Regions from separate parts of the Mus musculus genome. Here region 2 is reported to be linked to region 1. The links are microRNA targets in miRTarBase. Many come from high-throughput screens and were not tested one by one. Region 1 holds a microRNA gene; the other region holds the end of a gene's coding sequence.

Region 1 (15,471 bases):
TGTGTCTATCTCTGTCTCTGACTCTCTGTCTCCGTCTCTCTCTCTATCTCTCTCTGTCTCTGTCTGTCTGTCAGTCAGTATGGAGCTTCCAAGAATCACTGTGGCCTCCACCTGAGAGTCCCTTTCTCAGACTGAAGCCTGCTTGGAGGAAGCAGGGCTGAAAAATGGAGAAAGCAGGCTGTAGCTGATGGGATCTGACTCTGGGTCCAGCTTGTATTTGGTGTTGAGCAAGTCTGTTCCTTTTCTGAGATGAGCTTGAGGCCTCTCCAATCCACTAATCTGGATCACATGAATGAGGGTGGATTGTCCCAGCACAGTCCCAGCCCTGGCTTTTAGGCCCGAGTCTTGTGAATGGAGGCCAAGGCTGCTTCTGCTAAGCCCTTGGGTGACCACAAACACCCATCAAAAGGTGATAGGATGTTCAGCTAATGAAACTCTCTCAGCAGCCCCACTCCAGACAGCTGTAATCAGGTCAGTGCAGACTGAACCAGGGCAGGCAAGAAGTTCAGAGGCGCTTGAGGGAAAGTTCAGAATTGATGGAACGCTGTGGTGGCCACACAGGCACATGGGTTTATTGCAACAACAAATCTCACATCTAAATGTATGTACCTCATTTTACATAAATCAAATAAGGTAGACTTTAAAAGGGAAGAAACACGAGGCTAAGAAGATGATTTAAGGAGCTGCCTACTGACCAAAGGTGGGACTGTGTGATTGATGATTGGCAACTGTCAAACATGTTTAAGTTCATTAACCCTCAACAATACAATCCAGTGTTGACTGCCCAGACTCCAGACCCCAAACAATAAATGCAATGACACCTTAGTTACTTTTCCATCAAAGGCCTAGTCCTGCCTGTACCTGGCACCATCTCTGCCTCCTATGGCTTGACATCTTTGTCCCCACTGTGTTTCATGGAGGACTCTGAAGGGCTCTTTTGACGTGTTCCCACCAGTACTGCTCATGAGTTAAACTCTCCTTCCATTTTTACCCGAATGTGGCCAATCTAAATGTCAGGGCAGTTCAATTCCTATGGACTTTGCCATAGCAGTGCTTGGGGGTGGGGGGTGGGGTGTCACTTCACTCGCAGACTTCAGGTTTGGATCACTGGACACAGTGTGTGGTCCCATGGTCCTTGACACAATACCAGAAGTCGCACTGATGTGAACACAGGGGCTGCTTGAGATCTGACAGGAGTGAAGATCCTGCAAGCTTTCCAACCCTTGGGCTCCCAACATGGAGTTTCATGTCTCTGACTCCTGGACAAAGGCCAGTTTATCTCTGTGGGTGCACAGGAGTAATGATCTTGCTGTCTTCCTGTCTGTGCCTTCATCTGCGATCCTCGTGACTATGTTCATGGGAGAGCATCCTGGGCTCTTCCTGCCATCTTTTGTGCAGGCTTCTTTCTCAGACACTTGATCACCATCTCTGCAAAGTTCCACCCCCCTCCGCCCTTTTGCTTTCTGTGTTTCTGGAAGAGTAACTGCTGACTTCTCAGTGCCCCCCAGTCACAGCCAGAGAAGAACCTAAAACCATTGTGATATTGAATGAGACATACTTCTCTCCCTGGAAGGTCTCTGGAAAGCAAACTTCCTGAAAAACCCTTTGTCTTCTTGCTTTAAGCCGTGCATCTGGGGGCAGAGTCACAGCTGAGGGAAGACTTTCCATGAAAACACCCCTGCTCATCAGCAAAGATGGCCTTGTAGACTTAGAAAATCAGTTTTTGCAACCCTAAAGCATGATGGCTCTGGGTGTGAGCAACTACCCCAGAAGAGCTTGAAACTGTACCTCCTGGTGGAGAGACACTACAGTGGCCTGGCCTTGCTGCAGGGTTACAAGTTGAGATGATCTCTGGTCCAATTATCATGGTGGGGGAGCCTAGGAACAGAGGCATATGGTGGGCTGTAGTACAGGGCCTCAACCAGTAGCCCACTATGGGAACATGGGTCATATGGTCTGGTCTGCACTGTCTGGAGAGAAGGGATGGGTTATGGATTAGAAACACTTGGAAGTTTTTGTTTTTTTGTTTAATTGAGTTTTGTTTTTTGTTTTGTTTTGTTTTCATGTTTTGTTTGTTGTTGTTTGTTTCTTTTTGTTTTCGAGACAGTGTTTCTCTGTGTAACCCTGGCTGTCTTGAAACTCATTCTGTAGACTAGCCTGGCCTTGAACTCACATCCACCTGCCTTGGCCTCCCTGTGTGCTGGGACTAAAGGTGAACAGAGATAGCACCCAGCTCGGTCATTTTAAAAAGAGAGACAAAGCATTCAGTCACAGTGCTCAGGGAGACACGGGTGGGGGCTATGAAGGACTGGATGGGGTCACTCTTGAATGGAGGAGTGCTGGGAATGACAGGCCCATGGAGAATTCTGGGTGAAGAGACAGAATTCGGCAATTTCCACAGTAGTTTAAGTTTCTTTGCCTCGGAAGATCCGATTAAACAGTGCATTTGTGTGTAGGCTTATCCCGTCTGTTTTGTTTTTAATTTAGTTTTGTTTTTGAGACAGGGTCTTGTGTAGCCCAGGCTAGCCTCTAGCTCACTAAGTAGACTGTGTCTCAAGTCAATAAAACAAAGAGAAAAAGAGGAAGCCTTCTAGCTGGGTGTGGTAGTGTACACCTTAAACCCAAGGGAAGCAGAGCAGGTGACTCTGAATTTCAGGCCAGCCTGGTCTACTACAGAGAAGCCCTGTCTTGAGAAAACAAACAAACAACAAAAACCCTGATGTCCTCTTCTTGCCTCTGTGTGCGCACACACACATACAGACAGACACCACACGCAAACACACCCTACACACAGACACAGACAGACGCAAACACAGGGACACACACAGACAGACAGACATATGCACTCACACACACACACACACACACACACACACACCACTCCAAAGAAGATGTTTCTGTAAAGTCGTGCACAGTGCTCAGTCTTTGTCCTAGGCCTAATCATTGGAACCCCGAGCAGGTCCAGCATCCCATAGCCAGTCTCTAGCAGGAAGTCTCATGTGAGACATCACCATGCCTCAGTCTTCCGGCCAATACACTAGAGAGATTAAAGGGGGCCTCCCTAGGATTCCCAGGAAGGGAAAAAATGTGAAGTAGACTTAGAGGCAGGGTAGTGTAGGCTGAGTGCTGGCTGGCTGGATGAGAAATGCATGAAGCCAGTTTGGGTCCGACCCATCTGCACACCCCTCACTCCTGGTTCACTGGCACTGACAGATGCTCAGTAGAATAAATGACTTTTGACTCCCATTCAGCCAGGCGGCTTGCACCTCACACAAAAAGACGAAAGGACAAGCTGCCTACTTAGCCCTCGAATACACCACTTCCCAAAGTTCTGCCGTTCCCCGCATCCTCACAGGTCATGCCTCCCACAGTGCCTCCTACCAGGGGCCACCCTTCCCAACGCCCCATGACCAAAGTCCCTAAAGTCCCACCCTTCCACGTGCTTCCTCACTCTCTCTTTGCACAAAAGGGAGACCTGAAATCATGATGGCAGGGTCTGAAGCCCCCAAGACTTTCCTCTTGGTGTAAAAGTTCATACTGACTATTTCTTCAGCTGTTTCTCCCAGTGGGACTCCTGCCAATCACACACCTCCCCCCATCCCCAGGGAAGAGGATCATCCACCACAAAATGTGACCCCCAAACAACCCCGGCCTATTGTAACTTGGAACTCAAATCAGATGCAATCTGTTTACCTGCCCTGGGGAGGAAGAGAGGAAGGCAGATGTTCCCTTTCTATAGCATTGAGTGTGACCCTGCTACACTTGCACACCAGTGAATGTGACCTCTGCTGCACTTGTGTAGCAGTGAGTGTGACCCCTGCTGCACTTGTACAGCAGTGAGTATGACCCCCACTTCAATTGTGTAACAGTGAGTGTGAGCCCTGCCGCACTTGTAGAACAGTGAGTGTGGCCTCACTGTACTTGCACAGCGGTGAGTGTGACCCCGCTGCACTTGCTTTCGCACACTTCTCCTGTTACAGGCTGGTACAGGACCCTCATGCTCAAGAGCCATGGGGGCTGCAGGGGAGCCCCACCGTGGTGGCAGGGCAAAGGGAAGCAAGTGGCATGGTGTAAGGGAGCATCAGGAGCGGGTCTGGGTCTCTGGGGAAGCACTGAACAGGAAGCTCAATCCCTCAGCACCCAGCCCACTTCGTCATGGCCTACCCTTCTCTCTCCTTGGTCCCTTCACCGGCTCCCCTCAGTTTTCCCAGTCCACCAGTGCACACTCAGTCTCCTCCCACCCTGAGATAGCCTCTGCTAACAGAGTCCTGTCTTCCCTTAGTCCCACTATGTATGGCGTGCAGACATGCTGAGTATATGCAGAAGTGTGCCTGTGAGTATGCATGCAAGTTCACCTGCTTGTGCATCTGTACACAAGCATGTCTGTGTGTGTGTGTTTGTGAGAGTGTATACATCCATGCACTTGGAAGAACATTCATTGGGCATGTTAGCAAGGGCATCCACCTCTGTGCATGCACGTGCACATGTGTGTGGATGTGCACCGATACAGGACTGAGACTGTGTGTACATGTGAGAATGTGTAGGATATGCATGTATGTGATGTGTGCATTCACTTGTGTGTCTGGATATGTGTGTAAGAAGTGTACACATGTCTGACTGTGCTCATATGAATCTATGGCATGTGAGAACGTGTCTGTGTGTGTGTGTGTCTGCATGTGTGTGTGTTGTGTGTATGTGTGTGTGTGTGTGTGTGTGTGTGTGTGTGCAACGTGTGCAGGCAAGTGCATTTCCCTGACTGCGCTAGCATGGAGTGGGGATGAGGAGAAGCAGGAGGGGTGTAACCAGCACTCAATGTGATTATCATTGCTATTTTGCATCTCTAACAGCAGAGGGGCTTCCCAGAACACACTGATAAGGAACAGAGGGTGGTGGAACCAACTGTGGATAAAGATGCCTGCAGCCTGGTCAGGTGCCCTGGCTGTACTAGCACCTCCAGAGTCCTCTGACATGGCTTGAACAGCGGGGTACATGTCCTGCTCACTGAGCACACCACCTGGAGCCTCCCTGGGAGAGATGTGGACTTCACTTCAGTTACTGCCCTCCTGCTCAGAGTTGTGATCAGTGACTGGCCTTTGTGCCATCAGAGACAGACTGCCTTTAAGGCCATTTGTCCTTTCTCTCCCCAGATGTGACTAACAGGAAGCTAGAGGCCAACTTATAGGAAAGAATCACTTCAGGTAGGACCCAGACTCCAGCTGTGCAGCCCATAGGGTACGGCTGAGACACGAGCACATTTGCCGAGGTCCATGAGGAAAATGGACCCAAGCTGATGCCGTAGGAAGATAAGAGTTGCTGTGTTCGGGTCAGGATGGAAGCAGGAGTTGGAAACACTTCATCTCATGTGAGTGGGTTCAAATCTTTAGTTGCATTCAGAGCTCCAGGGTCCCACCTTCTAGACCTAACCAGGCTGTCATCTATCCAGCCACAACCTCTCAGACCTCTGCTCTCAGCATTTACCTTCTGGTATCTTCTACAAACTCATCTCAAGGACCAGGATGAAGGAGGGGATCTGAGAGGCCATGACATGTGACTCCATGATCCAGGATACAGTAGTCACTTGCAAGGGTCATGATCAGGAAGCTGAGGACACCTGGGGCAGAGGTGGTATGATAGTTTGAATATGCTTGGCCCAAGGGAGTCTTTAATAGTGGTCTTTAGAGCCACTATTAGGAAGTGTGGCCTTGTTGGAAGAGGTGTGTCATTATGGGCGTGGGCTTTAAGACCGTCATCCTAGCTCCCTGGATGCCAATCTTCTGTTTCCCTTTGGAACAAGATGTAGAACTCTCAGCTCCTCCTGCACCATGCCTGCCTGGACACTGCCATGTTCCTGCCTTGACAATAATGAACTGAACCTCTAATCCTGTAAGCCAGCCCCAGTTAAACATGGTGCTTATAAAAGTTGCCTTGGTCATGGTGTCTGTTCACAGCAGAAAAACCCTAACTAAGACAAGTGGTAAGACAGACAAGGATCAAAGAGTATGAAGTGGGGGTAGACTCCCCAAAGGACCATGAAGAATTGCAGGAAGCCAGACCCTGTTGTCATCTTGAACTTTCAGAAATCAGAATGACTTCAGTCAGCCCACAGTCAGGCCATAGGAACACCAGGAAAGTCTCGGCCAACAAGGCTTGAAGAGTGCCATTCAAGGGACATAGGATAGGAGCAATTATGGATGGCAGGACAATGATATTTGGGTTCGTTCATAAACTTGAGGACCTTGGGAGGACAATGTTGTTTGGGTCCATTCATAAACTTGAGAATCTTGGTCAGAGATGAGCAGAGCTTCTCATAACCCAGGTGGGGCAAGAGCACAAGATTGGGATCGGGGTCGACTCTCTGTCCAAGGGGGTCTTCACTCCATCTAGTTGTGATCCCTGTTACCCATGGCACTGGCTACTTGGATGCTCTCCTAGGACCCACACTGCCGTCCCTCCCTGGGGAGAAGAAAAGATAGAGCTTTGTGTAAGGAATGCCGCTGCCCAGTATGGGGCTCCCTTCCTGTCTGAACTCTTTCCAACAGTCCCTATGGTGAGATGCTCCAGTGTCTCCCACCTGGCTAGATATTTGCTTAACAAACAGTGAAAACAGCTGCCCCCTAAGCATAAATAGCCAGGGTCTCTCCTCCCACATGGGAGACCCAGATCATAGGTTAGACATCAGGCATTCCAATCCACTCTGAGCTGGCCAGGACTGACTGTGACCCCGAGGGGTGTCTCACCTCTCTGAGCACAGGATGCTTGCCTGGTGTGGGTCCTGCCTGGCTTGGCTGATGGTGTTTGCATATGCACTTGCCCTGAACTCACAGGGCACTGTGGGTGCCAAGTGGATGAGACAAGACAGGGCACTGTCCACGTATCTGTCCCTAGACTCCAGATATGCCTTTTTCTAGGCTGGGCCCCTATTCCCAGGATGTACGCATCTTGGAGATGTACCCTATCAGGAAATATTTGGCCCAAATCTAGATTGGCTGTCTAGGAAGGAGTGGGCATGATGGTCCTATGTTAAACAAGGCTTAGACTGATTGGACAAAGAACAGCATGTTCACACTGTATCCAGTCTGGGCAGCTCTTGGCCTGGTTCCAGTGCTCGTGGTGGGTGTGGCCCAGAGCTTATGTTAGATGAAGTTCAGTGCTGATCAACTGTGTGGCCTAGCATGCACGTGGCCCAGCACTTGTAGTGGGTGTGGTCTAGTACCCATGGAAGTATGGGCTAGTGCTTATGGTGGGCGTGTCTCAGTACTTGTTTGAAATGAATGAGGCCCAGTGTTCATGATGGTGGGTGCAGCCCAGTTCTCACCCAGGCGGGATATTTGACAGGACAGTGAAAACTATTCTACTCTCTGCTCTTGGATGAGATTGGAGGCAGGGCAGACCAAGGCTGACCTGTTTTCCTACCAGATCCTACCAGTTTGGGGGTGGAGATTTTCCCAGTCTCCCCGCTGGGGCAGGACTGGACTCAACTCACTGGGTAGACATTTGCAAAAGATCCTACAAGGACAGCACATTCTACCAGCACATTCCTGGGGGTTTCAGATGAAGGCAGGTCACAGGAAAGCGGCCAACCCCACTACCAGGTATAAAGGACTCAGGGATGCAAGACCCCAGTAAAGACTGCCTATCATTTCCTGCCTTGCCCTCCGACAGCCTCTAGTTTCCTGTCCTTCTGGAGGACAAGCTTACATGTGAAGAGAGATGCCAGCTCTGTGCAGAATCAGGGTAGAGAGGAGACGGGAATGTTTATTGAGCTTGATAGTGAGACTGAGTGCTGATCCTCAGGCAGGGCTGGGCTCAACAGCTTCTGTCAGTGTGGCCATATTTTTCTCCTTCTCTCAGGCCTCTGTCCTCACACCTCAACTAACTCAGGCTGACAGCCATGGCCCCTAAGCCAAGCAACCCTGGCCCTGCCACTCTGGGTAGGAGGTGGAGTTCACTCCTGGCAAGCACATTATTTAGAGGCCACTAGACAGTCACTGTGAGCGCCCAGCAACCCCAGCCTTGTGCAGGACCCTGCCTAAGAAGCATTGTATATAAGGGTCCAAGCAGAGGCAAAGTTGACTGCACTGCCTCAGCTAACTGCTGACACACCTGGTGGTCTGGCTTCCCATGAGAGCAACCCTCACATGTGCCTCTGTGCCACAGGACTCTGCCAGGGCTCTGGATCGGTGGCACCTTGCAGGGTTCTCAGCGGCCAATCGAGTGCCACCATGTGTTCTGGAGAGTGGCTACCAGCTCAGCCTCCCCAGTGACAAGATATACATTCTCACATTGTCCCTCAGGTCATCAGCCAAAGGTGGACGCTACCTTCCAGGGCCTAGAGCAGCACCTTTAGCATGGAACTTACTTAAGGGGAAATCAGAGGTTTCTTGTGCCCCAGCCCCACCTGCCTGAGTCCCAGCACTCAGTTTTTACGCAAAGCTCTGGTGTGAAAAGAACATTTATTTTTCACAGTCACCTGGCAAGTGACCTGGACTGGGTCAGTCACAGCTTAGGGAGGTTTCAGCTTCCTCCTCTACTTGCCTGTTGAGGAGACAAGGGGAGCCTGGATCCCAACCCAGGGCCACTGGTGGCGCACGTGACCTGGCTTTCTTGGATCTGACCATTGCGGAGGCCTCCCTGCAGCAGCCTTTGAAGAGTCCTTGCTGTGGCTGTGTCCTCTGGCTGGGCCATGCGGCGTGATCAATGCGCAGCTACAGCTGGTTGAAGGGGACCAAATCCATCCAACAGCTGATTTGGTTCCATTTTACCAGCTTCAGCAAAGCATTTGGCTTCTGATCCACTGGGAGGAGAGACTCCAGGAAGAAGATGGTTCTGTCAGGCTGCTGTCCTGTCCCAGGCTCTCCCTGCTCTGAGAACCCATGCAAACCCAAGGGCTTTGGAGGTCTTCAGGGTGTGTGTGAGGGGTCACATGTACATTCAGACACTCTATGTGCCCCAAAATGGCACCCCCAGGACATTACTGGGAAGGGGAAAAGCAGTTCTTGGTCCTTACGCCCCGAACCTCCACCTCTTACTTGCTATATACATATATACCACATATACACCAGCGTTGTCCAGAGTCCTGTCTGGTCACTCCTTTCAGGAATATATCCAAGACCATTGAGCCTCTGACCCATGGACTCACATCGAGGCTTGAAGACTTCACACTTTACACCCTGACTCTGCCTGCATCATCCAGATGTTCTCTTATCTCACTGTGCCGAGGTACGGCTGTTTCTCTTAGCGAGCCGTGGGCCCTGTGACTGGGCAAACAGCTCTGGCTTGTAGTGACCTTGGGGGCAAGGGTATATCAGACACCACACATGGCTCTGGGAAGGCAGAAGATGGAATATTCCAGTATGGACTGGTTTATGTAGCATAAGAAGTGACATGGGACAGAAAAGGCCCAGTGTCCATACCCCCATTCTCTGGCCTCCCTAAGCCTCTCACTTCACAGCTCTTGATGATTCAGAAGGTCCACGTTCCCTTCAGAAAACTGGAGCAAGGGTGTGAGGTGAAAGTGTCCTCAGCCGCACAGGGACATGGTCTCCAATCCCTCTCTCTGTCTCTCTCTGTCTCTGTCTCTCTCTGTCTCTCTTTTTCTCTCTGTGTCTGTCTCTCAGTCTCTGTGTTTGTGTCTGTCTCTGTGTATGTCTCTGTCTCTGTGTGTCTCTGTGTCTGTCTGTCTGTCTGTCTCTCTCTGTGTGTGTGTGTGTGTGCGTGTGTGTGTGTGTGTGTGTGTGTGTGTGCGCGTGTGCGTGTGCGTGTGTGTGTGTGTGTGTGTGTGTGTGTGTGTGTGTGTGTCTACCCTCAGTGAATACCACCCCTCTGAGAACCATTGGGTAACCCCACATCCTCAGCCCCCACAGGGCCCACTGCAGCCTGTGTTCACAGTGGTCTTTCCAAGCAGCCCTGATGCAGAAAGATCCTCCTAAGGATGTCTTGATGTCCCCCTGGAGTTGCAGGAAAGGCTCTGCCTTCCAACCCACACAGACACAGAGGATCTCCCAGCCACCAGCCTCTGGCTCAGCACATGGCTCTCCTCTCCTTGCTCCTACACAGGGCAGGCACCAGGCTCCCAGCCTGCCTCACCGGCCCTTAATGAAAATGATTCTTGATGCTGGCTGCATCCAACCCTTTGTCTATGCTGTCAATATAGTTACTGGAGTGGAAGATTTGACAAGAGGTAGAATTAGCCCTGAGTCTTGGTCCTGGGCCCTTAGCTACCATGTTGGGGACCGAGGAAGAGGACTGCAGCTACCTTTGCCCCAATGTGTCAAGCCCAAGTCCTGCTCCAGTGCAACTTCATTTGCCGAAGCCTTGGGCACAATTTCATTCTGCCAAGGAGAGGGGTCACAGGATGATAGAGCTGGCACTCCCCTTGGGTCCCTGTGAAGGTTCTTATTTCTGTCCATATGTCACCAGATTGGAGGAATTTCCCCCATACGGACCTCCCTGAACTCCCTGTGGGTGTTGTTTTATTTCCTTTCTGAACAACAAAAAGATGCTCACATTACACACAGCTCCAAAACCTCAAGGGCCCATGACTTCTCCATAAGACCCACCTCCTCCTCGGCATGGGTACTTACTTCACCTAAAAACTGTTATATCCCAGGCTGTTCTGCCCTCTTCTTCACGGTCATCTTTGTTCAGCCACCCTGCTCCCTCGGACACAAGACATGAGAGGCTGACTTCATTGTAGCAAAGAACAACTCTACCACAGTGTGCCCCTGACCATGCTAGAAGGCAAACCAACCTGTGGGGTCATGGTAGCCCTGAAGGGCCAACTTAGAGCCATGGTGCCAGGCCTAGCAGAGAGATACCCAATGTGGCTGGCACACACAGTATCTGCTGAGGGTTGGTCTGGAGCCTGTGGGCATGGCTTCTTTGGGAATCCTGTCTTTACCAGATTTTCAAAGTGAACAGAATGGGACTGTGGGTACTACTGTTGTTGGGGTGGGTTTTGTTTGCTTGTTTGTTTTGCTGTTGTTGTTGTTGGGGGCTTGTTTTGTTTTGCATTTTACAGACAAAACAGTTTTTAAAATGTTTTAAAACATCTGCTGATGGAGCCATCCTTCGAGGGAGAGGTACACTCAGCATTTTCAAGCAGCGATGGATACTAGACATGAGCATTCGATGCTGAAAGCACCAGCAGCCCTGGTGAAAATCAATGGAAAAATTAGACGCCGTGAAAATGCAGTACACACTCAATTAGTTATAATTGGAGCATAGAGTGATGGAGATAAGGACAGAGCAGGGAACACTCTCAGACACACAGTCGATGCCGGCAGTCCCTGGCACATGGCTCACCTCGCTCTCACCCCTTGAAGTTCCATGAACTCGTGATGCTGTGCAAAGATGCTGCCTCACCAGGAAGCATTTGCATCATCCTGCATCTGCCAGGGGTCCAAGACCCCTGCTGGGCCCTGCTTGGAGATGGCAGAGCAGTCCAGGATGTCAGACGCTATAGCAAGCTCTCCCAGCTGTCTGTCCCCGGGCCTGACCTTTGAGACTCAGAATGACCTCAGACTCTGGAGTAAAACACTACACACTAGAGGAAACTGTGGGGTTCCTGGGCCTCTTGGGGGATCCGTTTCCCAACATGAAAAGTGTTGAAGGCAGTAAGTACTGGACCTTTTGTCTGATGGCCAGCCCTATGTGTCCTGTTATTCCATGCCTGTCATAGCTCCACAGGTGACCCCTGGCTATATGGCCAACAAGGACAGTGGGAGGGTTTCTCTCAGCCTCATCTCAGGACGTCAGGAACAGCAGCTGAAAATACACAGCCACCTCCAGGGACACAGAGGTCATAATACTAAATACTCCTGCTCAAAGACAACCTGAACCTAGTCACATGTGTAGCTAGCCGCTACACCAACTCCCACTTGATGTTTTCTGTTTTCTTTCTGTGGGGCATGTAAAATGTAAGCACCAATAACCTAGTATTTCTCTACATAGTGACATTGCCCACTAGCAAGCAGATTCGCCACAAAATTAATATCTAGCTTCACATAGTGGCTCATTATTAAAATAGAGAGCAAAGAATTGCAGGAAGCCCAGTGGGTACTAGCGGCCCTGGCCAGGGCTGCTGCTCAGGAACTTTCTGGAAGTTCTGTTTGAGAGTATCAAGTCCCATGGGACAATCTCCAGAAAAAGCCAAAGGAGCATTCACCCCCAAACAGCACCATTTCTTTGTATCTGCAGTGCTGACTCAGCCAAAGCACCACCGAGCCTCATTCAGCCCAAATCCATAACGTTTCTGTCTGTTCAAAAAAATTTATCTTTTCTCAACACTGATAAAAGTTTAATACCAGAGTTGCCTGAGTTTTTAATAAACTTGTCAACAAAGGAGCATGGCAAATTGATGAGGCCCTTCCTGGAGATAAATTCCACCTGAAATAGACCCATGGAACAGGGGGCAAGCAGAGGAGGCAGGGGAGGGACGGGACACACGATTGTGTTGCTGTTCGTTGCAAAAATTAAAACACAGATGGTGTGTGTGTGTGTGTGTGTGTGTGTGTGTGTGTGTGTGTGTGTGTGTGGTGTGCATGTGTAGTATGTGGGAGTGTGTGTTTGTGTGTGTGTGTGTGTGTGTGTGTGTGTGTGTGTGTGTGTGTGTGTGTTATCTCAAAGTTAGGACCCTACTAATCGCTGATTCTATTTTAAGGGAAAAGTTGCAGATAAGAACTCCATGGAGGTCAGCAGGCAGAATTTCTGTTCTGAGGGACTGATGTGTCCAGAGACAAGAAAAAAAGTGGCTTGTCAACACAGAGTCTGGTTAAAGGTCCTGCAGTGGATAGGGAAGGTGGGCCCCATACACATACTGTACCTCATCTCCTGAAAAAATAGACCCTGAGCTACCAGAGCTTAGAACCTGGAGTTCAGATATGCTGTTGGACGAAGCAGCAGAGGTGTTCCATGTGACACCATGGAAGGCCTGGGTAATGCATGACAGTGTGTGCTATTCCTCTCACCTCTATCCCATTCTTCGTCTCCCTATGGCTTGGGGGAGGTCTCCCAGGATGCAGAGGCATGGCAGGACAGGGTACTGTCTTCAGACATGAGAGTATAACCTGCCTTTGAGGGTACCAGATGAACATTTTATCCCTTACACAAGGATGTCTTGTGATGTGAACCCTACTCTTAGAAATTTATTTGCTAAGACAAAAGTGAGCAATGACAAGATCAGAAAAGGGAACCTCAAACGTGAGGTCTTGGCGGATCTCAAAACAGAGTGTGCAGGACACCCTTACAGCGACTTAAGCCTGCCACAGTACTCAGCCTGCAGTGATAAGACCAGGGCGTCCCCTACACCAGCTCCAAGATCTGGGACTCTTTCTCTTCTGCCCTTCTTCAGTGAGCGAAAACCGCACTGTGCCCTTGAGAAGGGCTGAGAGGAAGCAGCCAGATCTCACCTGGACTCAACAGCCTAGGAGGGGCCCACAAGGAGGAGAAACATAGAAAACAGAGCTCTGAGCCACACTCGGGTCACAGCTGCTGATGGGAGGTGGGGAGCACTCCTGGGCCTCTGCAGCCCCAAGTCACCCAAGTCCAGCCGTCTCCAACAGGACAGCTGAGAATGCAGGTTATTTATACCAGCCATGACATGGGCAAGAGTGGGGAGACACACACGGCCCTGTGGCCATATCTGGGCATGATTGAGGGCTCATGGGGCTGCCAGGAGGATAGGGTCCAGGTGGCACATCTGTCCCCGGTGTCCTTCAACTTCACAGTGTCCCCATAGAACCCCCATGACAGGTTCCAGGACAGCTGCCCTCTCCCCTTCTTGCAGTTAAAAATACTCTGGTTCAATGTCCGGTTTATCCTGAATCTATCCTCCCTGTGCACATGCACCTGCCCACACGTCATCTGCCCAGCACCAGTGAGGAAGCACTATTCTTAGCCCAGCCCCTGGTTTGACCTCAGGGAAAGAGACCCTAGACTTTAAATCACTTTGTAGGGGACACTCTTGGCCAGGGAAGAGCCCACAACCTCAAACCCATCACTTTGACTCTAAAGCTTCTTCAGTGCCCTCCCTGCAGGTGGACAGAGAAGGCCTGGGAGGCCCATGTGCCACCGCCTTCGTCCCTTCCCACCCGGCCTGCAGATCCGGAGATCTCTGCCCTTGAGACACGCAGCCCTGCATGTGCCTGCAGCTGCGGCTATTCTGCAGCAGCTCTGCAGCAGCCTGCACCACTCCAGCTGCTGTAGCTGCTCCCCCTCCCACACGCTCAGCAGCTCCAATCTTCCCAGGGTCACAGCCGGCCCGGGAGAACTGGAAGTGCAAAGAACACTTCCCTCCCCGGACACCAAGCAACCTCCTTAAAGAACCTTCCAAATCCAACTGTAGCTGGCCAGGTTCTGAGCCCAGGAAGAAGAACATCTGAGAACTGTCTGTACTGCCCCTTTGCTTCCCTAGCTGCCTAATAGCCATGCCTGCCCCCTTTCCAAGTGTGATTCACCCAGGACACTGGGGCTGAGGTTGGTGGCCAGGTAAGGACAGTGAACAAAACTGGGGTTCTTTATAAAGCCAGCCTCACCCTACACCCTACCTCTATTGGTCCACACCACACTCAAGTCAACCTCAGCCCAACCTCAAGGAGGGTGCCCTGGACCTGGCCATGGAGCAGGGAACAGCACTGTACTGCAGAGTGAGACCTGCAATCCAAAGTGCATGGCTGCTGAGTCAGCACAAAGCCTCACAGAAGGCTGGCTACCCATTCTGCTAAGGTGGCAGCGATTAACGCAATTGTACGCACATCCCTCCCTCCTCCTCGATAGCATCTTCGTCATTGTGCCCGGTTGCCCTGGCCCTGAATATCACTCAGGTTCCTTCCTTTTATAAAGTTACAACATTTTGGTGTTGGGGTAAGATGCAGCTCTAACAATGTTAACTGTGACTTGGATTATGGCAGACAAAATAGCCATCCTGCAGCCAACCTAACCACACCTAATAGTTTATTCTTCGATGCTTCTCTTCACATGAAGTCAACAGTTCTAAATGAGATTGCTGAGGAGCCCAGCACACAGTCTGAAGAACCTATGCCATAAAATGCTTTATCGCCCTCGAGGTACGACATTATTTATTTAGCTGGAGTCAATGTCAGAACCCCTCTTTAAAGAGGCTGGCACAATTCACTTGGCCAAAGAAGAAGAAGAAGAAGAAGAAGAAGAAGAAGAAGAAGAAGAAGAAGAAGAAGAAGAAGAAGAAGAAGAAGAAGAAGAAGAAGAAGAAGTGGAAGAGGAGGAGGAGGAAGAGGAGGAGGAAGAGGAGGAGGAAGAGGAGGAGGAAGAGGAGGAGGAAGAGGAAGAGGAAGAAAAAGAAGAAGAAGAATAAAAGAAGAAGAAGAAGAAAAAGAAGAAGAAGAAAAGAAGAGGAGGAGGTGGAGGAGAAGAGGAGGAGGAGGAGGACAAGGAGGACAAGGAGGAAGAAGATAATTGATAACTACACATGCACACATAATCTCTCACTTAGAC
Region 2 (15,471 bases), not on the chromosome of region 1:
GGGTGACAAACTGTGTGGAACAGCCAAAAGAAATCTTGGAACAACCCTAGACAATGCCCTTCTTTTCACCCCTGACCAAGCCATGCTGTCCTGCATCTTAAAAGTTGTCACATCCACTCCAGAGCAGACACTGTTGCACTGGACATTACGGTGAGCACTGCTGGCCCCAGCCACTCAGTCCTGCCGGCTGCTGGGAGAAACAGGATGTAATGTTGTTTGGTGCCCATCACTGGTAAAAGCTCTGAATGGACACAGCTTCCTTGCAAAACCATCTTTAGCTCAAAATCTAGACCACGAGGCTGGAGAGATGGCTCAGCGGTTAAGAGCACTGACTGCTCTTCCAGAGGTCCTGAGTTCAATTCCCAGCAATCACATGGTGCCTCACAGCCACCTATAATGGAATCTGATGCCCTTTTCTGGTGTGTCAGAAGACAGCTACAGTGTAGTTACATATAATAATAAATAAATCTTTAAAAATAAAATAAAATAGAATGAATGAATGAATGAATGAATAAACAAACAAACAAATAAATAAATAAATAAATAAATCTTAAAAAAAAACAAAAACAAAAAACAAAACTAGTCCACAGCTTAAATTTCCACACTGGGGAGGCAAAGGCAAGCAGATCTCTGTGAGTTCAAGACCAGCCTGATCTATACAAGTTTCAACACAGCCAGGGCTACAGTGAAATAGTGTCCCAAATATAAATAAACAAACAAACAAACAAATAAATAAATAAAATCTAGATGTGTTTGATGTAAGCTTAGCCTGCTTCCTTTGCTTTGAGAGGTCCAGTGAAGGAGAGCTGGTCTTCTTTGTGAAGCACAAGATCTACTTTATAAGAGATAATTCCAAAACACAACCACCTTGTACCCACTGTGAAACCTTTCTGGGTCCCCCAACCCCCCACCCCTGAAGCTGGTCCCTCTCCACATCACCACATCACCCAGCATTCTAGATTCCAATCAATCAACAGAGTGTTCTCTCTCTCTCTCTCTCTCTCTCTCTCTCTCTCTCTCTCTCTCTCCCCTCTCCCTTCTCCCCCCTCTCTCCTCTCCCCTCTCTCTCCTCTCCCCCTCCCCCCTCTCTCCTCTACCCCCCCTCTCCTCTCCCCCCTCTCTCCTCTCTCCCCTCCCCTCTCTCTTCTCCCCCCCTCCCCTCTCCCCCCTCTCTCCTCTCCCCCCCTCTCCTCTCCCCCCTCTCTCCTCTCCCCCCTCCCCTCTCTCCTCTCCCCTCTCTCTCCTCTCCCCTCTCCCTCCCCTCTCTCCTCTCCCCCTCTCCTCTCCCCTCTCCCCCTCTCTCCTCTCCCCTCTCCCTCCCCTCTCTCCTCTCCCCCCCTCTCCTCTCCCCTCTCCTCCCTCTCTCCTATCTCTCTCCTTTCCCCTCTCCTTCTCTCCCTCTCCCTCTCACAGCTCTCATCCTGCTGCCTGAAGCACCTTCCTAATTCTCCCCTAGCCCCCGATTGCTCATCTTCCAGGACTTAGCAGCCTGACTTCCCCTTTCAGACCCATTTGTTCTATGCCAGTGTCAGGCTTGGGAAAGTCTATGCCTGTTTGCACCTGCATTGGTCCTAACTATCTATCCAGTCTCCTGGGTCCAGTGGAAAGCCATTCAAAATCTGGGAGTCAGAGAAGAGTGGAGGGTTTCTTGTGAACCCAAAGTTCTTCCTCCCTCGCCTCTATCACAGGCCAGAGGATTTAATTCCTGGGATACTGGAACTGAATGCCAGAGCGAGCTAGGGAAGGTCCCTATGTGCCTAGTTGGCACAGCAACCAGGAAAAATCAGAGAATAAAGTAGCCTCATTTGCCAAGTATTCAAAATGGATCTTCTCATTTCAGACCAGAAGGATGAAGTGCCCACAAGGCTTCCCCCGATTATCTCAGAAGATGGTAATTATTCTGTGCACCAGAACAGCCATGAGAGGTACCAGGAAGCTGTGCGAAAGGTGTTGTTAAAAACGTGTAAGTACCTCGGAGTGGGAAACAAGGAATGAGTCCAAGATGGTAAAGAGGGGTTAGGATGTCACAGGCTCGGTGATGGGGAGAGGGGGGGTGCTGCTGTGTTTTCTAAGGCTCCCAGAACTGTGAGGATCACAGCACAGAGCTGGAACAGGAAAGAACATACGAGGTGTTTTTGTCTGCTGCACCCGCTGAGGAGGAGGAGAGCCAGCACCTGCTTTGTAATTTGAACTGAGCCCAAACTCCAAACAAGTTGGGTGACCTTGGTGAAGTTCCTTCAGCCATTTAACCTCTCCCAGACACTTGCAAACAGGAGCTCTTCGGCTGCATTCAGAAAAGCTTGTAGGGCAGACTCTCGATGCATACGGTGTGGCGGTGTGGCATAGGGATCTTCAAGGAACTGTGTTCTCTACAGAAAGCTGCTCCTACCCTGGCAGTGGTGGCCTGCTCCTTTAATCCCAGGACTCAGGCAGTGGTGGCCTGCTCAGAACTCAGAACTCAGAACTTTAACCCAGAACTCAGACACAGGTGGGTCTCTGAGTTCGAGCGAGGCCGGCCTAGTATACAGAGTGAGTTCTAGGATGGCTAAGGCGTCACAGGGAAACCCAGTCTCAAAACAAACAAATGAAACAAACAAGCAAAGAGGAAGGGGAGGGGAGGGGAAGGAGGGGAAGGGAAGGGCGCCATTTCTGGGGCTGGAGAGAGAGAGAGATGGCTCAGAGGTTAAGAGGCCTTACTGCTGCTGCTCTTCCACAGTACCCGAGTTCTGTTCCCAGCACCCATGTGACAGTTCACTGCCTGAAACACCAACCCCAGGGGATCTGATACTCTTTTCCTCCACAGACACCCATAACACAGTAAAAGCAACAGGCGCCACATATGCATACACAAATAAAAGAGAACGCGTCTCCTTTAACAAACTCCAACTTTGCTTTATCAAAAAAGGCCAGCCCCGCCGGGGCGTGGTGGCACACGCCTTTAATCCCAGCACTTGGGAGGCAGAGGCAGGTGGAGTTCTGAGTTTGACGGCAGCCTGGTCTACAGAGTGAGTTCCAGGACAGCCAGGGCTACACAGAGAAACCCTGTCTTGGAAAAAAAACCAAAAAAAAAAAAAAAAAAAAAAAAAAAAAAAGAAAGAAAGAAAGAAAGAAAGAAAGAAAGAAAGAAAGAAAGAAAAAAAGAAAAACCAAACAAAAACAGAAGAAGAAGAGGGCATCAGATCCCATTAAAGATGGTTGTGAGCCTCCATGTGGTTGCTGGGAATTGAACCTCTATAAGAGCAGTCAGTGTTCTTAACCACTGAGCCATCTCTCCAGCCATATATACATATACACACACACACATATGTATGTATATATGTACATACATGTGTGTGTATATATACATGTGTGTACATATACACACATGTATGTGCATATACACACATGTATATATGTATATATGCACACCTGTATGTATATGTGTGTATGTGTATATATACACACATGTATGTATATATGTACACACATGTATGTATATACACACACATACACATGTATGTATATATATGTGTATATACACCTACACATAATTTTCAGATTGACTTTCACTACATTGCTCAGGCTTAAACTTGTGGTCTGCCTGTTTCAGTCTTCCAAGTAACTGAGATTACAGGCCTCCATAGGTCAGGCCTAAACTAAACTAAAAACTTTTAGAGATCAAAACAGGCAAATATAAGAAAGAGGGCATTTAATTTATTTCTAACAGAAAAAAAAATTAAAGCTTATTAATTAATGGGAAAACAGCTAGGTAAAATGTAACATTTAGTCAAAGGATTAAGAATTTTAAAAAATTCTCAAGATTACAGAGAAAACCAGAAAATATTAGACCATAATTTGATCTTTAAAATATGAAATTTTGCAAGGCCCAGTGGCCCACCCTTTAATCTCCTGGCACTTGGGAAGCAGAGGCAAAACTCCCTATGAGTTTGAGGCCAGCCTGGTCTACATAGTAAGTTCCAGGACAGCCAGGGACATGCAAAGGGGACCCTGTCTCAAACAACAAAAATATATTAATTGACAACATGAGATTATGAAAACCAAAGCAATAGAGGAAGGCAGTCAACATTAAACCTCTGGCTTCCACACACACGCACACAGGAATGAGAGCATGTGCACATGCACACGCAAGCACGCACATGCACACGTGCGCGCGCGCACACACACACACACACACACACACACACACACACACACACACCTTAGTCAGTAAGGTGCTTACACTGCAAGCAGAAGGACCTGAGCTTGATCCTTGGGCTTGGAAGTACACACTCATAACTCTAGAGCCGCAGAGGGGACAGGTGTATCTCTGACGCTGGTTGACTCTGCAACCAACTTGGCCTAATCATGGAGCCCCTGGTCCTAGTGACAGACTTTTCTTGACGGCTCCTCGGGAACCTTTGGCTTCCGTGTATACCTGAATATACACAAGCCTGTATGTAGGTACACTTTCACACACACAAGTACCTTATATAATATTTTGAGCAGCAGGTGCTTGACGATAGCATCTGCACGTGGTTTCTCAAAGTGGGTGGGGTCATTTTTTTTTCCGTTTCAGGGAACTCCTCAGAATGAGCAGATTACGCGTTACTTCAGACAGAAGGGGAACAGTGAGTGAGGGCGATTGAGAAAAGATATTGAGGGAGAAGATAGAGACTTGACGGGCTGGGGGCTGGGGGGACACCTAGGGGGTCCCACCGCTCAGAGGAGACAGAGAAGAGAGATGGGGGGAGGACTGTGGAGCAAAGTGACTGGAGAAGGGCAGTGACCGGGATGTAAAGTGAATAAGTAAAAAAAATTTTTTTTTAATATAATAAAAAATATATTGAATCAATACTCCATTTTGTACACTTCCCAAGTGGGTTTCCACCTGTTTTCCCACAAGTCTTAGAGATGGGCTTACTTAGTACCAGGAAAATCCAAGACTAAACCATGTGACCATGAAGGGTGTGAGATGGTGGAACCCAGAAGTGACCTAGGGTGTGTCAACCACATACCCAGGAGCCTTCCGCACCTGGTCACCTTCCATACCTGGTTACAACAACTTCCTGGACCGTGCTTTTGATCCCAAGACAGAAAAACAAAAGACTCTGGAGGAAATGAACACCTGCCTTTCTTCCCAAAAGTCCCCAATCAGGTCTTCAGAGTCCCTGTGACTGATGCTCAGAACTTCAGCTTCTGGCGGTCCAACATCCCAGGCGTGCGTCCAGAGAAAGCCATTCCTTGGATCAAGACTCCACACCATTGTCTCATTAAAAGCCCAATGACCAGGTGAGGTCTTGGCATCATCTGATGCTGAGGAGGGTCAGGGTGGGAGATCAGCAAAAACTCTCTCCCCACAGTGAACCCGGAGTCTGTTTCAGCTCCATTTAAGTGTCAAGCACCTTTAGTTCCAGCATTGGGGAGGCAAAAGCAAGTGGATCTCTGTGGTCTGTGAGTTCAGAGCCAGTCTGGTTTACAGAGTTCCAGGAGAGCCAGAGCTCAAAAAAGTGTGTGTGTGTGGATGTCAGAGTATAGAAGAGGTTTGAGCCTTATCAAGGAAAGTGGGCCTCAGACCCTGGGGCAGTGTGGTCTCTACATGGTGTAGCTGGATCTGTCTGCTTTGCTTTATGGGTGACACTTTGAATAGGCACAGAATCGATGTCTCTAGCATTCCTGCGGGGTCCTGAGGGTGTTTCCACCCCAACCAGCATCCATTGACAGTAGTCCCTCTCCATCATGCGTGCCCACATGCCCAGAGGCAGTCACAAAGGTCTTTTTTTGGTTTTTGTTTTTGTTCTTTTCTGAGACAGGGTAACCCTGGCTGTCCTGGAACTCACTCTGTAGACCAGGCTGGCCTCGAACTCAGAAATCTGCCTGCCTCTGCCTCCCAAGTACTGGGATTAAATGTGTGTGCCACCACACCCGGCAGTCACAAAGATCTTGTATATCCCTTTCCCTTTATCCTGGCGTGGCTCAATCTGAGACAGTTTCTCTCTTTTTCAGATTTGTGGACCATTCTCATCTCAATGACAAAACCTTCAGTCTTTACTGAGGAGCGCATGCTTGCAGGACAGATGAAAACTGGAAGGGAGGGCGAGGAGGGGGTGAAGATGGCCAAGCCATGAAAGAAGTGGGGAGAGGGGGGAAGAGTGCAGAATAAACAAATTGAACTAAAAGGCACTTTTGCATCCTGGGTGTGAGGAGGCAAGGGAGTTATCCCAAGGCCATGAGTCCTGTGTGAGATTCCTCATGAAGCTAGATCTTGGTGTGAGAGAAGTGAAGGGCTATAATGGCAACACCAGAGGTCTAGACCTAATGCACGGCAGGGGTCAGAGCAAACACCTGGGGTGAGACATTTGCCCTCAGGATGCTGAAAGGCCTAGAGCAGTCATGCTGTCTGAGGAGGCTGCAGCTTTATCCTGACAGGCACAAAACCACAGGAAGCTGTTAGATCACAGATGAGAGAGGCCCAGAGACTCCTGGGAGAGGAGCTTGCTTGCTTTACCAGGGTTTGTCACTTTCTGACCCCCAACCCTGCACCCAAACAGCTGCAGAGAACAGGGCTTTTCTTTTTTTTTTTTTTATACAAAGAGTTTGATTTTATTGATATTTAAATATATTAAATATTTCACTGAAATACATGGTACGTCACCCTCCCCCACTCCGACAGTGGTTACATTATAAAACCAGAGCCCATTGCCTCCCGTGCCCTGACTTCCTCCCCAAATGGTGAGGAGAGTGGCTACGGTAACTCAGAGAGGGACATGACTGGCTGGCACTGTGGTACGGGGAGCCAGGGTGTGGACAAGCCCCTCCCACCTGGCAAGAAGCAGACCCAAAGCCAAGGTCTCCCTGCTTTGGCTTATATACCTCACACCTGCCCCAATGGCGTCTAGTAGTCCCTTCCTATCCAAGGCTAGGATATGGCTCGGGGAGACAGAGGAAATTTTCTGCCTGGACCAGCTGATCTTCCTCTCCTCTGCCTTGGCTAATCAAGCGCCCAGTGGTCCACCGATTGGTACATGGAGATTTCCAGGAAAGCAGTACCAAACCAGAACCCAGGCCTCTGCAGAGAATGGGTGGCAGAAGCTTGAGGAAGGGCCAAAGTACAGCCTGCCCCTTCCGCACCTCCTGAAACTCTCCTCTGCCTTTCCTGCCCACGTCTAAGATCATCAGTCGACATGGAGGCGTAATGCCTCTGGCTTAACTAGATGCAGACAGAGAAACCAAGGCACCAGCTAACTCAGACCAGAGTCAGGGAGGCTGCAAGGGTCAGAGGCAGGCAAGGGCAGGCGAGGACAGAGTACAACCCTTGCAGGCTTCGTGAAGATTGGGAGCCGGGGCTAGAGTCTAGCCATGGTAGATTCAGGCCGAAGGCTTGGGGCAGCCCAGTTCCAAGTTCCTAGGTTCCCATCCCCTAGTACCAACATCGGGGTCCTCAGAGAGGGATCCCACACTACCCCAGTCAGAAAGCACACCATGCCCCCAAGAGACAAGCCCAGGAACCCAGGAAATGCCTGCACCTCTACCCACAAACCTCCAACAGTTCAAGTTCCAAGGAACACTAGAGATTAAGCAGGTGCTTGGGTCCCTGCCCTAGGCAGGGGGACAGTCATAGTGCAGATATGTGGCCCCCAAATGGCACTTAGGGATTTGGCACAAAAAAGGACTCCTCTCCCCAGACCGTTATCATTTTACTACCAAACACCACCCAACCTCCTGTGCAACCTGGGTATTACTCTCCATCCCTTGGCACAGGAAACTTGGCCTTAACGCCAGAAGACAGAGGCCCACGGGAGAGAGGCAGTCCCCGGTGAAGAGCTGAGGAACTGGAGCATGAGGACACATGGAGACCTCAAAGACAGACAGACAGACAGACAGACACACATACACACACAACACACAGGCCCACACAATTACACAAACACACAGGACCTCCCTAGTGCCAGACTTAGGAGGCCAGGTTTGGGGTCAGGTCATCTTTTTTGGAACCCTGACCCTTTTGCTATTTGGCAATACAAGGGATAGAGATGTTCCATGGCCCCTGCCAGCAGGCAGCAAGTGAGCATTCGAGCACACTGAGACCTCAGGTCAGTGTGGCGGCCTCCTCCTCCTCCTCCTCCTCCTCCTTCTCCTCCTCCTCCTCCCTGGCTGCCTGCTGCATTCTTTGGCACCTGCAGGTCACCATCCACCATCCAGTTCCTGTTCTTCGGATGACCTCACACACACAGGCTTGCTCTCTGGCTGGTCATTTTCACAGTACCAGTAAAGCCAGATGCCCCTTTCCCAGGATCATGCAGGAACTGGGGCTAAATCTTCACTGTCAGAGGTCCCTTTGTTCCCCTTTGGGGACAGATCACGGGACTAGGATTTGGCAAATGGAAACATTCCCCTGAAATATGGTCAGTCAGAGCTAGGTCCCATAGAACCTCCTTCTTCTGCCTTGTGCCTAAGAAGGAGAATTGGCTGGTTCTGAGAGTGCCCAAGACCCGTGCTGCAGACACAGGCAAGCAAAGGCAAGTGTTCTTCATGCCTGCCACAGTCTTTGTACAAAAAGTAGTCCCAGGAAAAATAGGGAAAGAAAGGACCCAGCCCTGAGCCTGTTGCCCAGACAGGGAAACAGTAGGCATAGAGAGTTGCCATTTAACTCTCAAACAGGAGGCTCCCAGGCCTCTGCGCTTTCTCATCTGCATCCAAACAAACGAAGACCAGCCTTACTCCAATTAAGAAAGTCCCTCGGATAATCCTCTCGGCGTCCCCTCCATCGCCATTCTGAAGGCAGACGAACACAGTCCAAGCGCAGCCGCTGGGGTGTTCCCTTTTGCTGTCAGCAAGATCCGGAGGCTCAGTGCCCCCCTGTCACAGCTCCACCCAGCGAGCACAAAGTCCCACTCAATGCCCACCTTGGTCCCTTCGGTTGAATCTCAGCTGCTGCACTCTGCTAACTGCTGGGGCCCCCGTTGAGGAAGTAGGTGGTCATCTCCCCCTTTCCCTTCACCTTGACCACCCCTCGACACTCCAGCTGGTAGCCCTTGGCAGCTAGAACCTGGTATAGGTCCGTAGTCACCTAGGGAAGTGGAAGGGGAGCTTGTTTAGCCTGGGATCCTCCATGCATTGATAAAAAGCCCAGGAGTTCTCTACTGGATACTCTCCTCTCTCGCCAACCCCTACCCCAACAGCCACGAGAAAGGCTCCCAGCCCCCGTCCTGTACAGAGACCACTGAAAGCCCTCAACACCCGTCTAGCTTGGCGACATCCCCTCACCTGTATTCGGTCAGGAACTCCAGTGCTGTCCATACGACTGGAAACATTCACGGTATTTCCCCAGATGTCATACTGTGGCTTTCGGGCCCCAATGACGCCTGCTACAACCGGACCCATGTTCAACCCTGAAGTAGAGACAGTAGCAAGAGACTGAGGCTAGGATGTCCCAGGGTCACTCCAGACAGTCATCTCCCCCTTGCACCCTGAGAAGAACCCAAAGGAAAAAAATATCAAAGGGGACAATGATTCCTTCGGCATGGGGCTGGCCGTGATGGCTGAGGTGGCTCCCTCGAGTCCAGACAACAGTTGCAGCTCATCCCACTGAAGGCTTCTCCAGGCATTGGTTGCTCACGCTGCTGCCCCATCTTACAAACAAGTGAGTACGGCCGTGGGGAGTCAAGCCAGACTCTGGACGTATGTTATTTAATCACTGCCTTCCACCAGAGCATTTGAGCCTGACCCCACATCTCACACTGACCACACACTTTAGATTTAGTCAAACGTGCCATTAGTACTTGAACTTTTCACTGAAGTCATTTAATCTCTGAGAACCCCACATCCCTTATCTTAGAGAGGGGCCTTGATGTACAACTTAGAATGTACTGGACACGTCTAGGGCAAAGACCCCCAGCACACGGAAGACTCAAGTGAACCGTCTTGGTCCTCAGTATTAAACTTGACAGGGAGGTGGGAGGTAGAAACCCCACAGGAGTCCTGACGGAGAACAACCCACCCCTCCACACACCCTCCACACATGACTTCACCCACAAACGGCCCCAGACCCTCACCGATCTTCATCTGGAAATTGTTGAAAGAGTGTTCATTGATGTGTTTCATCTGCTCCATGAGCCGCATGGCATAGTCAGCCAGCGCCGTGATGTGTGAGCGGCCGACCTGGTCATAGGTGCTGGCATTTAGCCCAGAGGCGGCCATGTAGGTGCTACCGATGGTCTTGATCTTCTCCAACTGCCGGAATCTCTCCTCACTGATGATCTGAATGGCACAGAGGAGGGGGGTGTTCCGGGGAGGTGGGGGTGGGGGATCGGTCAAGCCAGACCCAGGTCTTTCCAAAGCTCACTCCTTGTCATCCCCCTCCTCCTCCCGAGAGCCCCATTGCTTTAGTGGGTGAACTCTCTCCCTTCCGATGGCAATCCACAGTGTGGTTCTGAGAAACACTCTGACGTGGTTTGGGGAAACCATGTCCCAGTGTGTGTGTGTGTGTGTGTGTGTGTGTATGTGTATGTGTGTGTGTGTGTGTGTGTGTGTATGTGTGTGTGACAGCCCGTCCCTGACCCAAGTGTCCAGGACACTCCCTCACTTGTTGTTCCCGTTTTCGTTCTTTGAGAGACAATCTTGCTTGCTTGGTCTCGCATAGATTTGACTACTGTCTTCCTCTTCAGTGACATCACCTGATACCTCTCCTGTCATCCCTGTCCTAGAGTCTCCTGTCCTCTTCTGCTCCTCAGCAAGGATGACCCTGCCCCACTGAGGCTGACCCCCATGCTGTCCCTGACTGGGCGAGGGACACTCACCCGGTCTTATCCCTGGCTTTTCCATCCAAAAGCCTGCTCCACTTCCCTGGTCCCCAGACTGCCCCTGTTCTGCCAGTACCAGCCAATGAGCCCCCGTTCTGCCAGTACCAGCCAATGAGCAAGCACCTCGTCAAAGTCTGCGATGATCTCATTGAGCAGCCGCAGGCACTCCACGCCCTCGTTGTTTGCCTCGAGCTCCACGTAGAACTCCGAGAAATTGGCGATGGAGGCAAACATGACAGCCACACATTCACACGACTGGTAGTACAGCTCATCGTTGCGGCGTTCCCGGGCCAGGAAGTGGGCGGCCACGTCCTTGGGAAGAATGTTATGCAGCAACCTCCGGTTGTATGCCTGTAGCTCCTCCATCTCCTCCTTCTCCCCTGTTGCCTGTGGGCACCACATCCATCAGCCATTGCCCAACACTCACAGAGGCTGGGCGCAGTGGCCGAGGCCAGAAGATGGGCATCACAGGGAACCACGTGAAGGAAGAAAAGCACAGGCAGAGGAGGCCTAAATGACAGGCAAAGGGGTGAAGGGGGCAGGTACAGGATGGGACAGGAGACAGGAGATGGAGACACGAGGCATAGAACCAGGGTGGGCTTGGGCAGACTCAGCCTTAGCCACTTAGCAAGAGGTGCATTTCTGGCTTGGCCCAGGCTCTGCCCCCAGAAGCTTCTCCCTCCCATAAAGGTCCATCCAAGTCACCTGTAACTTCCACAGGAAGTCCAGGCGGGCAGTCGATTCCACCTGTTGTGCATGCAGATACAGTGCCAGGGCAAACACCAGCAGAATCACGGGGGTCATATATTTGAGCGCTACCCTCCCCACAGCTGGGCTGAAAATAATCAAGAGACAAGCTTGGTGCCTGAAGGAGATCTCTACCAGCCTCATTCTTCGCTGCCTCAGGGCCCCCACTTACCAGTCCAGCCCATCAAAGGTCTCATTGGAGGAAGCCCTGGCAGGAAGATACAAAAGTCATTGGAGGCTGTCTGCTGGGAGGGATACTGGAGGGGAGACAGAGACTACACCGCTGAGCCCAGTCATGACTCAAGCCTGTGGGTAAAGCCTTTGCTCACATAAATTAGCTCAATATGAGCAAAGGTTAAACCGACTAGGAGCTCCTCCCTTAGCAGCTAAATGGTCCAGGATAAGTCGGTTATAACTCTCTAAGCCTCAGTTTCCTTGTCAGTGAAAGGATTCAACTCCAGGTACACTTCTGGAAGGTTTAGCATGTGCTTGCGGCGACATAAGGCTTTGGGACTGTGTGTCACTGTAACAGACGGCCTGAGATGCTGACACAGTGATAAGAGAACTCAGGCTTAGACAGGTCAGCTCGCCTGTCCGAAGCTTACAAAGCTAAGGAGAAGCAGACCAAGGACTCAAACCCAGCAGACTCTTAATTCTTCCTACCTCAAGCTACGGCCACATGTCCATCCCAAAGGGCCTAAGAACACAGGGTAGGACCCTCAGAAAACAGAAGCGGGCAGAGCTCTCTGAGTTCCAGGCCAGCCTGTTTTACAGAGTGAGTTCCAGGACACCCAGGGTTGTTACCCAGTAAAAAAATAAAATAAAATAAAATAACCCAGTGGGTAGAGGAGGCACAGAACAAATGTAGGGCCTTTTTTTTTAAAAGCTATCCTAAAGAGACAGGAATTTGTCACAACTGGAAATTCTTTGGGGTAACTACCTGAGGCCACATTCCAGGAACTAGCCCTTCCCTTCCCTTTCTCCCACAAGTGAGAGTTGTACATTCCAAAGGCCTGGGTACCAGAGACTCTGCCCAGAAGGATCAGGGAGGTCCCCGGAGACTGAGGGACTGTGGATTAGCTTACAAGCCATGGACGCCAAGCAGTAGATCATAGTTGTCAAAGATGGCGGCCGGGGGACCCAGCAAAAGCAGCACCAAGTAGGTGAACCCCAAGATGAAGGTCATGGCCAGCTTGCCGATGCTGCTGATGTGTAGGAAGACAGAGCTGGCTAGAAGACTCAGCAGCACGTTCCCGACGAAGTACTGGGGGGAGGGGGGACAGCAGAGGCAGCGTTGGGTGACAGCGAAGACCAGGGCATGCAGAGCAGGAAGAGCCCTACTCCCCTGCCTGACTATCCCCCCCTTCCACCACCTTCAGGCCCCAGCTCCCTGTACAATCCATGCCCAGCTTCCCGGGGGTGGGGTGGGGGTGGGGCGGTTGCCCCTAGAGTCGGGGAATACTTTGAGTTCCCGGCTCCCTGGTGCCCATCACTAGACCTGGCTCAGAGGGGCCGATAACTGTGTTAGAACAACCCCCTCTGCCTGAACACTGCTCGGACACCTCAGGGAAGCTGCAGGTGGGTGCGGTGCCCTCACACAGGGGAGCATCCAGTCCCAGAGAGTAATTGAGCTGTTGTAGGTGGCAGGCGGTGACATCCGCTGGTGTTAAGTTCAGCATCCGGGCCGCGCAGGTCCTTATTGGGGTGTGATTACAGGTAAACTGCAAAGGTTGGGTGCATATCAGGAAAGGTTCACGAGGGCTGAACCCAGAGGTACTTTTTAGACTAAAATCCTCAGGCATGATAAAAGAGGAAACAAAGACTAAGAACAAGAGTTACCCCCACCCACAGGGACAGCGGCAGGCTACCCAAAGGCTGGAAATACTCAGAAGGGCTGCAGTTCTGAGAAAGTGCCTGGCACAGGGCCTGGGAGATTTACCATGTTGGCGATGGCAGAGATGAACACAAGCAGAACCGAGAAGATTCCAACCGCGGTGCTGTGCACCCGTGAGCGGACAATATTGCGGGACAGGCGTTGCAGGGCCTTGGGGAAGAACTGCCACAGCGAGAGTCGGAGGAGTTAGAAACTGCATCAGCGAAGGAAGACCAGCCAAGAACAGGGTCTAACAAGACACATGGCCACCCTCTCTCCCTGTCCCATGGGAACCCGATCCTTCACCGACAGTCTCAGGGAAGTCCCCCTACTTACAGAACCGCAGGAGCACACGGCACAGATCAGCACAGTGACCAGCAACAGCAGGAAGATAGCGGCATAAATCCCGAGTATCAGGGTGGAGCTGGAGCAGGGTAAGGTGGGGGGTAGGGTGGAATATGAGTAAAACTGGGGTGTCCCGGTCCTAGCCCCAGAACAGAGCTGAGGCCAGCAGTTTGCATGGGTGTTAGGGGCATTAACGGATGGACTCACTATGGGAACACAAGGAGCTGGATAAAACAGATGAAGCAAAAAACCAGGAGGGCACAGGCGACGTAGGCTCCGAAGCGAGGATCTACTTTCCGTGAATACTGAGGGAAGAAAGGAGACCGAGCTGGGTGCTGGGTCCTGCCCTGGCAGGCATGTTATGGACAGCGAAGAAGAGGGTAATACAAGGGCCTTGGGAGGAACACATGACCCAATTTATATTAATTTCCATCTTAGGCTGTAGTCTCTTCCCGTTCCTGACATGTCCTCCTGTCCCTCAGTGTGTGTCCAGTCTCCCAGCCAGGCCCTCCCTCCTCCCAGCCCTCTCTTTTTTTGCCCTGTATCCCCCAAACCTTCTTCTCAAGATCCTCTCTCTGGAAGGTGAGCAGGAACCGGCGCACATGGTCCTTACGCAGTTGGTCGATGCTTCGGGCATCGATGGCTCGGCCCAGGAACTCATCCACCTCATCTTCAGGGTTCAGAGCATCTTGGGCACCCCGGCTGATAATGGGATGCAGGTTTTACCAGGTGCATGAATAACACCACAGGACAAGCAATGACAAGGGCAGGGCTCAGGCCACAGCAAGGGAAGGCTATGCGAGCTGTGTGTGTGGTACCTGCTCCCACATCTTACTAGAAATGGGAGGTCTCAGTTCTCACAGCCCATCCCAGGTTGCAAATGCCTTCTCCCTCCCTTCCTGACCCGTCCCATAGGCCGACTTACTTGTCTTTGCTAGAATCATCAATGCCCTGGAGAAAGAAACGGGATGTGTGAGGGAGACAGGAGCTGAGCCATTTCAGTACTAGGTCGAGAGGGTCCCCACACACACTTAGGGAGAAATGGGGCCCTTTGGGTGAAACTACTCCCTCTGCTCCCAGTTTTAGAACACAGAGTGGAGGAGCCAGGTATGGGGAGAAAGGGGACACTTTGAGGGAGACCAAAAAGTGAGGCCCCCCAGGTCATGGTTCAGAGAGCCCCTTACCATCTGGCGGAATGCCTTAGAGTCCTTGGTCCGGGAGAAGGCACGGTCAGGAACCCAGCGGGGCATCAGTCCTTCCATGGAGTTGGCCCGTGTCCGCTGAAGCTTGGCCAGCATGGCTTTCTCCTCTTTCTGTGCAGTAGCGTGAGTATAGGCTCAGAAGCAGAACCCCAAGAAGGCTTTTGCTAGCACCTTCCTGTTTGTTCCTTTCCCTTACCCCCCCCCCCGCCCCCTCATACACCCCTCCCCCGTTCCCACCCATCCTGACCCGTTTTTGGCTGGCGCCAAGTATGAGGAAGGTCTCAATGCACTGCTCCTTGAGGTACGCATTGCGTTCACCACCACGGCCTGGCTCCACCTCATAGTCCCCGTTCAAGTACTGCAGTGTAGCCCGAGTGATGTGGATGCGGCTGTAAGGGGCCAGGAGGTTAAGACTCTGGCTCTCTCACCCAGCCTCCCAGCCACTCACCCCCTGTGACCAACTAGACCCTTCCTTCTACTTACCCGGCCCGGCCCCCGGCCTCCATGTGGTTAGCCAGGGTCACAT

The links. The annotated mature microRNA mmu-miR-133a-3p reads UUUGGUCCCCUUCAACCAGCUG and lies in region 1 at 8,709-8,730, opposite strand. An mRNA with a match to its seed (bases 2 to 7 or 8) in the 3' UTR can be bound and repressed. Matches are read on the target gene's strand: a 7mer-m8 pairs with bases 2 to 8, a 7mer-A1 pairs with bases 2 to 7 and ends in A, and an 8mer does both.
Region 2: the mRNA of Adcy6 is a reported target of mmu-miR-133a-3p. Seed matches in the 3' UTR shown: 7mer-m8 at 8,884-8,890.

Annotation. Positions count from the first base shown.
Region 1 is chr2:180,391,696-180,407,166 of GRCm38, reverse strand. It overlaps Mir133a-2 (microRNA 133a-2), which reads right to left and starts at 8,788; the gene lies at 8,685-8,788. It overlaps Mir1a-1hg (Mir1a-1 and Mir133a-2 host gene), which reads right to left. Exons shown (of 4, transcript NR_045331.1): 4 at 5,365-6,453.
Region 2 is chr15:98,583,430-98,598,900 of GRCm38, forward strand. Adcy6 (adenylate cyclase 6) reads right to left here. Exons shown (of 21, transcript NM_001368413.1): 6 at 15,429-15,471; 7 at 15,193-15,334; 8 at 14,928-15,056; 9 at 14,669-14,694; 10 at 14,298-14,445; 11 at 13,951-14,048; 12 at 13,735-13,822; 13 at 13,465-13,581; 14 at 13,088-13,246; 15 at 12,611-12,789; 16 at 11,698-11,733; 17 at 11,484-11,613; 18 at 10,902-11,165; 19 at 10,032-10,236; 2 more. The coding sequence ends at 8,921. It overlaps 4930415O20Rik (RIKEN cDNA 4930415O20 gene), which reads left to right. Exons shown (of 4, transcript NM_001201322.1): 2 at 1,841-1,963; 3 at 5,124-5,268; 4 at 5,983-6,159. The coding sequence ends at 6,031. Among named protein-coding and RNA genes, the nearest start is that of Adcy6, 14 kb to the right of the region's middle.